Linked DNA regions of Arabidopsis thaliana. The protein of the gene in region 1 interacts with the protein of each later gene in a pairwise test. Each region holds a gene or a part of one and is shown on either strand. Other genes may lie near its edges.

Region 1 (3,958 bases):
GAGAGGTGAACAAAAAAAAAACTCGTGGACTAGAGAGTCGAATTTTTTCTCAGAGGATCGATGGAAACTTTTGCTTAATTTTATTTCCTCAGATTTTCCGGGAAAAACGAAACGAGAGATCTCTGTGCTCCTCTCTCGTCGCAGCGGTGGAATTGGAGTTATACCATAATTTTTATTTAATGACGCTTAAAAAGAGAAACAAAGCAAAACTAATTCGTATTGTAATTAATTATTGCATTATTAAGACTAAGCTTTGCAAATTAAATCGAGCTGAAACAGCAAAAATTTATTTAATTAATTGATGACAGAAATGGGTGAAATCAGATCTTTATAAAAGTTTTAAGTAATTTTTTTTCTAGAAGAATAATTATAATATTAAAAAAATAAAAGTGCTCGATACATTTTTACAAATGAAGTCGAAAATATTGTGAGATTCTGATTACGTAGAAATAATTATCTACTTATAAAAATTATTAGATTACTTATTACTGGATAAAATAAAAAACTTTGAAAGGCAGAAAACGAAGTGTGTGTGTTTGACAAAGAAGAAGTCCGCAAAATGTCGGCGAGAGAGTTAAATCCATTCTTCTTTGCCTAACCAAAATTACTCTTAACTAATAAATTAAACAGTTGATTAGACATCCAAGAGTGGTCCAACTCCTCTCCTCTAGCCCTTGGTTTAATTCCATGGTTTGGGAAAAGAAACCGGGTAAGTTTCTCCGGTTTAGATGCTTCAATGTTGAAGCCGTACAAAGGAATCCAGATTTGGTGATCAGACTAGAAATGGATTCAAGACTTCAGAATTATGAAGTTACACATAATTTAAGGGGATTTGGATTCGAATGACACTAGTTGCTAAGATTCAATAAAAACCTTACTAATTACATCTGAATCACCTAAGTGATTTTAGATTCAAAGAAAGGGGAAAAAACACAACCCTAAGTTAAAAAATGTAAAGAGCATATCAACACCAAGACGCGACGAATTTTGCACTTTACAGAGATATTGCTAGAAAGAAAAAGAAGTCAAAAGGATAATGTTAAAATAAGGGATTCCTTTGCGGTTTTGTTGATTAGCTTTGTAGACTTGTTTGTTGTTGTTGTTGGGGTTCTTCTAGTTGCTCTGGTTGAGGAACTGTAACACCTCCATTCATTCTTGCTCGAGCTTCTGCAAACATCCTCTGTTGTTCCGCTGCCGCCTCTTCTTCCGTCATCTCTGCTCCGCTATTCATCTTCACACTTCTCTGCGAATCCTGCTGCAGAATTGGCAATAACACAAATGATACTGATTATAATTTCATTCAAGTCTGGATCTTATTGTGAGCTAGGAGATGATGGTTACCATGGTTTCATATTTATGTTGCTCATACGCGGCATAAACTTCTTCTACGTATTCCCCAAAGCCAAGAACCTGTGTTTAACAAAATCAAGATTACAAAACATGTATATATTTCACATAGATGTATCAGACTGAGCTGAATGTAACACCAAACCTGTAAAGCTTTGAGTACGTGCTCAGGGGCTATTGTTCGTTTATCCTCTTTGTTACACACTTCATTCGACTCCGACGATATAAGATTTATGAACTCTACAATAAACAAATTTGAACATCATAAGTAATGAAATAAGCAAATTTGAAACAATGTTCGCATTCATAAATCTCAAGACTAATAATCATTACCTACACAACACTCAATCAATAGATCTTGAGCATCTCTAGCAACACGAACATCTGCGGGTAACATCTCCTTTATAATTTTCGTCATGGTAGCTGAAAGAACAAACATATTTTTTATCAGACAAAAATACAGAGTCATTGCATTGAGTAACCTGAAGCCATAGCTAGAGCTAGATTTACAAAATCTTTCAATTTAACCAAGAAATTGACAGAACCAAAAATTAAGTAGTAGATCGATCCAAAGAAGGAAACGAGACCGAACCTTTCGGAAGCGAAGCATCTTCCTTTGATTTTCCAACTATATCCATCGGATCCATAGTTTTAAATCTACATGATCAGAATTCAAAAGGAAAATCAGATTACCGGAAGATCTAGACCGCGAAGTTATAAGATGAAGAACAAAGGAGAAAACAGAGATAGACTTTACCGAGTTTAACACGGATCGAAACAGAGGCAGATCAACGACGGAGATCCGGTGAGTTAACAGACTCTCGAGACAGATTCACGGCGAGATCGGAGACGTGCAGTCGTACGGAATCTTATCGGCGGATTTTCTCTCTCCTTTTTCGGTTTCTCTACGCAGAAGTCGATTAGGGCAAAAAAACATAAGACCAGAAGTAAGTGCGTGACTTTCACTTTTGCCTTAAAGTGATTGACGGCGCGTAAGATCTAATTTCGTTATTTTTTAAGACAAATGAAATGGGCTTTTTACCGAACATTACATATGTAGGCTTGCTTGCAGCAGACACGACCCATTTCAGCCCAAGTTTTTTTTTTTTTTTTTGGTTTTGAACAAATCATCCGCTTTTTAGTCCACTGGTTAATCAGAGAAATTAGGGGATGTATTGAATTTTGAAGTATTTTGTAAGAGTTTGATTTATTTCCAACTCCATGTCATTCTTCTTTTTAGTATGTTATTCATGTTACATGTTATTCAAATATGATTTTTAAAATGTCTTCCTAAATCTTATGATATTCAAATTCAATAACTATGTTACTACAATTTTTTCTTGGACAAATATGTTATGAGACTTTTAGATACATTTTAGTTATAAATATGAATCAAATACATTTTAGTTCTAGAAGAAAAAACCAGATCTATAAAGTTTGTTATTAAAAGATAGAGAGAGAGGAGGGATGTAGTAGGCCAATAGGCAAATCAGAGAATCACAAATGGTATCTGGTCAAGAAGATTCCTGGTTAAAACTTTCATCTCTCTGTTTCCTTTTTCTTTCTTTGTTGGATTCATTAATTTGACATATCTCTATCATCACACTGATTCTCTTTCTCCCAGTTTGTCTGCAGATGCATGTGTGTAATCTAGGGTATATGTTTTTGTCCATTTGGTTTCATAAGGCAATAAAGATCCAGCTATTTACTACTTGTGGTATAGATTTTGACTGTTGAATTTTCAGATCTGATGTGTTTCGTTTGATCCGATTCGGAAAATTTATGTTTCGTTGACATTTTGGAGTTTAGTTGGAAGAAGAGTGAGAGTCGCTGGAGGCAGCGGTTCATCGATCTCTTCCTGTGAACACATTAAAAATGTAAAAGCATGAATAGATCGATAAACCTCTGCATCCAGCGTTTGCCTCTTGTATCTTTCTTATTGACTTGAATCTTTTTGTTTATTGGTTTTTGAAAGAAGAAAAAAGTGAGGGAAAACAGAGTCAAGTCCGATTACTTTTCTGGGAAAGCTGAGGATTTTGTGTTCTTAGAGAGCAGATGAAGAGGTGACTGTTGTTTCTGGTGAGAATTCGACCTCTTTAGTTTGTTTGTTTTTTCAGTTAATGAAGTGCTTGTTATTGAAGTGTGTAGTTGACTGATAAGCGCCTTAGCTTTATCTTAATGTTTATCAAGTAGATTTGGCGTTGGATAATTAAAAAGAAGTTCAGATTCTTGTAGGTTGCTTACTTCGTCTGACCAAACAATGTTCCTGAAAAAGTGTTGTGTTTTGTTTCATGTATCAAAAAGTCTAGCTTCAAAATTTTCTTGCTTTTTTCCAACATGCAAGATTTCTCTTTATAAATCGGTACATTTGTAGGTACAAATCGGTACAAATTTGCCATTGTATAAATCGGTACAAATTTTCCTGTGTTCTTGTAACAATGCCCTTTATACATTTGTAGGTGAGATAGAAGTTGGCATCTAAATTTGCTTTCTCTGGACCAGTGAAATCAATTGCAGTCTCCTATATATTGTAGTAGGCGATGTATCAGTGGTGAAGCGAGGATGACATCTGTGGGTACTTGTTCTTAATCCTTCACTCTGATATCTATGC
Region 2 (5,277 bases), on another chromosome or scaffold:
CAAGATTAGGATTGATAAACGCATCTCAGTTGTAAACTCGTATCCTTGATCTTGCTTGAGGTTATATCCAGTTTAAAAATCGGAAATCATTTAACTGGGTGCAAAAACATTTGATTGACCAATTTGGTACGTCGTGATTTTTTTTGTCCCATGTCAAATTAAACAAAATTGATAATATAATTCATCAAAGCGTATTTGTTTTTAATCAAAACGTTAGATAGTCTTTTAATATCAATGCCTTTATTACAAACGTAGTCTACATGTACTAATTTTCCAGTCAACATTCATAGTCACAAAATACGATAACATGAAAACTTTCATGAATTAGAAGAAGACGTTGATTGATAAAGAGAGAAGAACAACAACAAATTCAAATCACAAGATTAGCAGCAACTTTTAAGTTCCAGAGACGTTCCTCAACAGCGAGCTTAAAGCAAACATACGACTCAATCGACGCCTGAAGTACCTGATAATGGTTAAGGTTATAAACGCCCCAATCGCTCATACAAATCGCCGGATCTAACCTCACTCCTACGCGACCCAAACGCTCCTTCACGATCTGTTCAAACGAACAAAAACACATCCTAGCCCCTCTCGAATCTCTCACGAACATCCTTATGTCCAGAAGCTTCCCGATCTCCACTCGATGCCTACATTTCTCGAGTTTTTTCTGGTCTTGGCCGTTCCAAACGCCGACGAAAGTCGTTTTGGGATCGGCAAGGAAAGTGCGGAGGACTTTTGGGAGACCGTAATTGTAACCTAGTTGGATGATGAGACAGCGACTACCGACGCACAACTGGAGAGTTTTTGGTGGTGGATCTGGATCGGAACTATCCGGTCTCCACTGAACACCGATTCCAACGACGAGAGGATGTACCGAGTGATTACGGTTGTAGGAGCGGACGCTACGAATCCAGCGGCGGATAACGGAAGCAGTCGGCGTAACGGTGACGATCAAGTCGTCTCCGAAAAAATCGACAAAGTGTTTTTGGTGAGTACGGAAACTTCTGATTCTTTTGATCGTCGGAGCCATTGATCTGTCTTCTTCTTCCTTTCTCTAAATTTTTGAGCGAGTGTTAGAAAGAGAAGCGGTTTCTTTTTCTTGTTATAGGGTACATTTTTGTTTCTAGTTATAATCACCGTCGATCTTTGTAGTTTTAATCGTACGGTTGACAATGGAGATGCATGTACTGTCACATCGTCAGGCCTATCATAGATGTATACGCAAAACATTTACTAATTACTGTATTTTACGGCTCTGAATTTTTATTTTTATTTCCATAAAGGTTTGATGAAGACATGGAATATAATACTTTTTTACGTACTTCTTTTTACTAAAATAGTTTATTCAGTTATTTGGGGGCTTAATTAGGTAGATAACCATAACCTTTTTTTGTGTGTTTTTTTCACGAACAATGATTCACTGATGTAAAATCATAATTACTGATGAAGTTAACTTTCAACGTATAACGCTATGACGCAATTACTCTTGATATTTTTTCCTATATATTGGTTTGACAAAATTTTGTAACTTTAAATATAACTTCTGAAAAAATAAAAAAGTTGTAAATATAAATTCCACAACATTTTGTTTGGAACTTTGGATACATAGGCCACTTTGTTTTATCACACTTTATAATAAAGGTGGTTTCTGTTTTTTTTTTCTAAAATTCGACAGTTTGGTTTATAAGTATCTAAATTCAACTTGAAGACAAATAATTCTAACTTTATTTTATTTAAATTGTGATAAAAAAAAGTAACCCAAAACATATTTTTTGGTTCAGGCATATGTGTTACAACTTACAAGGATGCATTATCCTCAAACAAAATCCAATAAATAAAAAATAGAGAAGGTGGATGAAGATCTAAGAATTAATACTGTCACGAGAAAACGTATACAATCCACTAATACATAGCCACGTGTATGGTTAGATCTTTTCAAACAATCCGATTATATTTTGTGCTCCGCCGTATATTTATAACTAACATTACTTAATTAAATAACCATGTCGTCGACCCATTTTTTTTCTTTGACCCAAAACTTTAATTTGATTATATATATTTAATTTTAATTTTTCCATCGCACGGAGATTGTAACAAGGAAACCGCCGTCGCCGGATCTGATAGTGCATATCCATGAAGTAGAAGACGAAGAAACTTACTTTCTGATCTTAGAACGGAGTATATGTACAGAAGATTCGCGTCCCTCAATTTTTGATCTCAAGGGTCGGGTTTACCTTTTTTTCCTTCTTATTTTTGGTGGCTTTGCGTTTTCTCATTCGACGATTTCTGGATTTGGGGATTTCAAAACCATGAGGAAGAAGCTCGATACTCGGTTCCCAGCTGTAAGTTTTTCGTCTCTAATTGATCATTTCTGAAATTGAAGTCCAATTTCTCGGAAATTACTTTGATCTGTTGTTTTTCAGATCGAATTTCCAACACTATTTGGGATTAGATTAGTGTTCTACGATGAAAATTAGATTAAGTATCTCATTTCTGGCGAATTAGTTTTAGCAAATGACCTAGTAGTCAATTTCACCCTAATTTTTGTTGTGCTTGTTATATAGCTATAGTAATATGTGTTATGAAGATCCGCTATGGAATGTTTCATGTAAATTAGAGAATTCGAGAATTTAGGTGACTAGTGCTCGAAACGTGTTCTTTATCAACAAACCAGTCAGCTATTGGTTAGATAGTGTTGATTGAAGCAGGGATGTTATACACGAATTGTTTTTTCATAGGCTTGGAACTTTTTGTAGAGCTTCCAATTTGGCTAGCTAGATTTTGTTTAGCTTTATTGAATAAAACGTCAGATGATTTCATAAGTTGGTTATTGTTGATGGTGGTTTATTTTGTTTGAGCTGAGGCTAGAATATTAGTTTTTCACAGATTTTGACTTTCCATTTAATTTGTTAATATATTTTTGTTTGTATAATCTGATTGGTGATTGTACAGAGCGTGCTTGGTGTTTCTCAGTTCTACCATTTGCTTTATAATTCGTTTAGTAGTCTGTAATTATTGCCACACACACTGTGTGATGGTTGCTGTTTCTTCATTTGATGCATATATTACAATTTTTCAGGCTCGTATTAAAAAGATTATGCAAGCTGATGAGGATGTTGGCAAGATAGCTTTGGCAGTGCCTGTCTTAGTCTGTAAGTCATCTTGCTATCATTGACTTCAGTTTGAAAAGAGAATTATTGGAAACTTTACCCTTTGGCTAAATTTCATGTTCTCTTATTACAGCAAAATCTTTGGAGTTGTTCTTGCAAGACCTTTGTGATCGTACATATGAAATTACCCTTGAAAGAGGTGCCAAGACTGTGAGCTCATTGCACCTGTAAGTAACAGATTGGTTTACCTTTATTTTTGCTTTAACTCTGCATGCTAGCATCGTCATTATCTAAAGAGCATGAAAGGTTTCACTTGAATGCATTTTAAATTCTAGAGCTTTCAGATGTTGTAATTATTGATATTGTGGTTTAAGAGTTAACATGATGTTGTTAAGCGGAATAGCTTCCAACTCATAGGGCCTATTTTCACTGCATCCAACACCGAGAGGATGTTGTTTACTGTTACAGAATTTTATACCACAAATTTGGGATAAAGTTCTTATTTTTGCTCATCCATGTTTATCAAAGTGCTTTGTTGTTTACAGAAAACATTGTGTGGAAAGATATAACGTGTTTGATTTTCTGAGGGAAGTTGTGAGTAAGGTGCCTGACTATGGCCATTCCCAAGGGCAAGGACATGGTGATGTTACCATGGATGATCGCAGCATCTCCAAGAGAAGGTTGGATGTTTGATCTCTTAGTTCCATATGTTCTAGTTCTTTGTTTATAGTCCGTGTCAAGCTGATGTGAGATGGTTTATCAAAACAGGAAGCCCATCAGCGATGAAGTGAATGACAGTGACGAGGAATATAAGAAAAGCAAAACGGTGAGCTCGTGTTCTTCTTGAAATATTATACTTCATCATTCATTTGGTGTCTATTCCCAGCTCCTTAGATTCATTGAATATATTGGTAATCACTGCAGCAAGAGATAGGGAGTGCTAAGACCAGTGGCAGGGGTGGTAGAGGAAGAGGGCGAGGAAGAGGTCGTGGTGGACGAGCTGCAAAAGCAGCCGAAAGAGAGGGTCTCAACCGCGAGATGGAAGTAGAAGCCGCCAATTCTGGACAGCCACCACCAGAAGACAATGTCAAGATGCATGCGTCAGAGTCATCACCACAAGAGGATGAGAAGAAAGGCATCGACGGCACAGCAGCATCGAACGAAGACACCAAGCAACACCTTCAAAGTCCCAAAGAAGGCATTGACTTTGATCTCAACGCTGAATCCCTCGACCTAAACGAGACCAAACTGGCACCAGCCACAGGCACAACCACAACCACAACTGCAGCAACAGACTCTGAGGAGTATTCGGGCTGGCCTATGATGGACATAAGCAAAATGGATCCAGCACAGCTTGCTAGTCTGGGTAAGAGGATAGACGAGGATGAGGAAGATTATGACGAAGAAGGCTAAGTCATAACAGCACTATAGGATATATAGAGTAGCAGCGTTTAGCAGTTTGTCTAGAAAATGCTTCTTCTGTCATCAAAATCTTCTCCTGTTTCCATTTATTGTATGAACCAAAGATTGCATGCACTCTATGAAACTTAATTTATTCTCCTGATTTGTTATTTAAGGTTTTAGAGTTTTACATCAGAAGTTAAAATATCTTACAGAGTAAGTAAACACTCAAAAGTACATAAACAAAGGAGAGGGACTAGTCATGGTGTTGCTCCGCGTGGTTGAGATGAAGAGCACCTTCATGGTTCTTGTGAACTTCCACCTTGAACTTTTCCTCTTTTTCTCCCCTCTTCAACTTCAGTAGCATGTTGTATTTTGCAGCCTCGCCGGTTACCTGTGTCCATGTTTTTAATATTAAGCTCATTAATCTTGTAATCACCAACTATTACAACTCAGACGTTAGTCCTCATACCAAGGAGAACCAATATGTTGCTTAAAGTCTTTTCTACTTCTAAAACTTCAACACCATTCGGTTTCACTGACACTTGATTTCGTTTATTTGCAATTTCTCAGATGAAATTCATGCAAAAACATTGTCAAAATCTGACAAGTTCTCTATTGAAATTCATTTTGTGCAATTAAGATCGAAGATAGAGTATATAGTAAATTAAAGCCATACCTCAGCTTTAGCATGCACAACCTCCAGAAGTTCATAAGGGAACAAGGAGTTAGACCTCTGCTGAATGGTCTTGACAGCCTGCTC

The links.
Region 2: the proteins of NF-YB12 (region 1) and NF-YC11 interact in a two-hybrid assay, tested with the Arabidopsis thaliana proteins (one study listed by BioGRID).

Annotation. Positions count from the first base shown.
Region 1 is NC_003076.8:2,634,240-2,638,197, reverse strand, and holds NF-YB12 (nuclear factor Y, subunit B12), read right to left. Parts: upstream 2,367-3,958; 5' UTR 2,105-2,366; intron 2,005-2,104; 5' UTR 1,995-2,004; coding exon 1,940-1,994; intron 1,771-1,939; coding exon 1,681-1,770; intron 1,588-1,680; coding exon 1,493-1,587; intron 1,411-1,492; coding exon 1,342-1,410; intron 1,256-1,341; coding exon 1,073-1,255; 3' UTR 765-1,072; downstream 1-764.
Region 2 is NC_003074.8:3,955,753-3,961,029, forward strand, and holds NF-YC11 (nuclear factor Y, subunit C11), read left to right. Parts: upstream 1-2,010; 5' UTR 2,011-2,312; coding exon 2,313-2,345; intron 2,346-3,082; coding exon 3,083-3,155; intron 3,156-3,246; coding exon 3,247-3,340; intron 3,341-3,658; coding exon 3,659-3,793; intron 3,794-3,881; coding exon 3,882-3,939; intron 3,940-4,037; coding exon 4,038-4,526; 3' UTR 4,527-4,720; downstream 4,721-5,277. Other genes in the region: AT3G12470 (Polynucleotidyl transferase, ribonuclease H-like superfamily protein), read right to left, coding at 371-1,033; CYSB (cystatin B), read right to left, coding at 4,771-4,908, 5,194-5,277.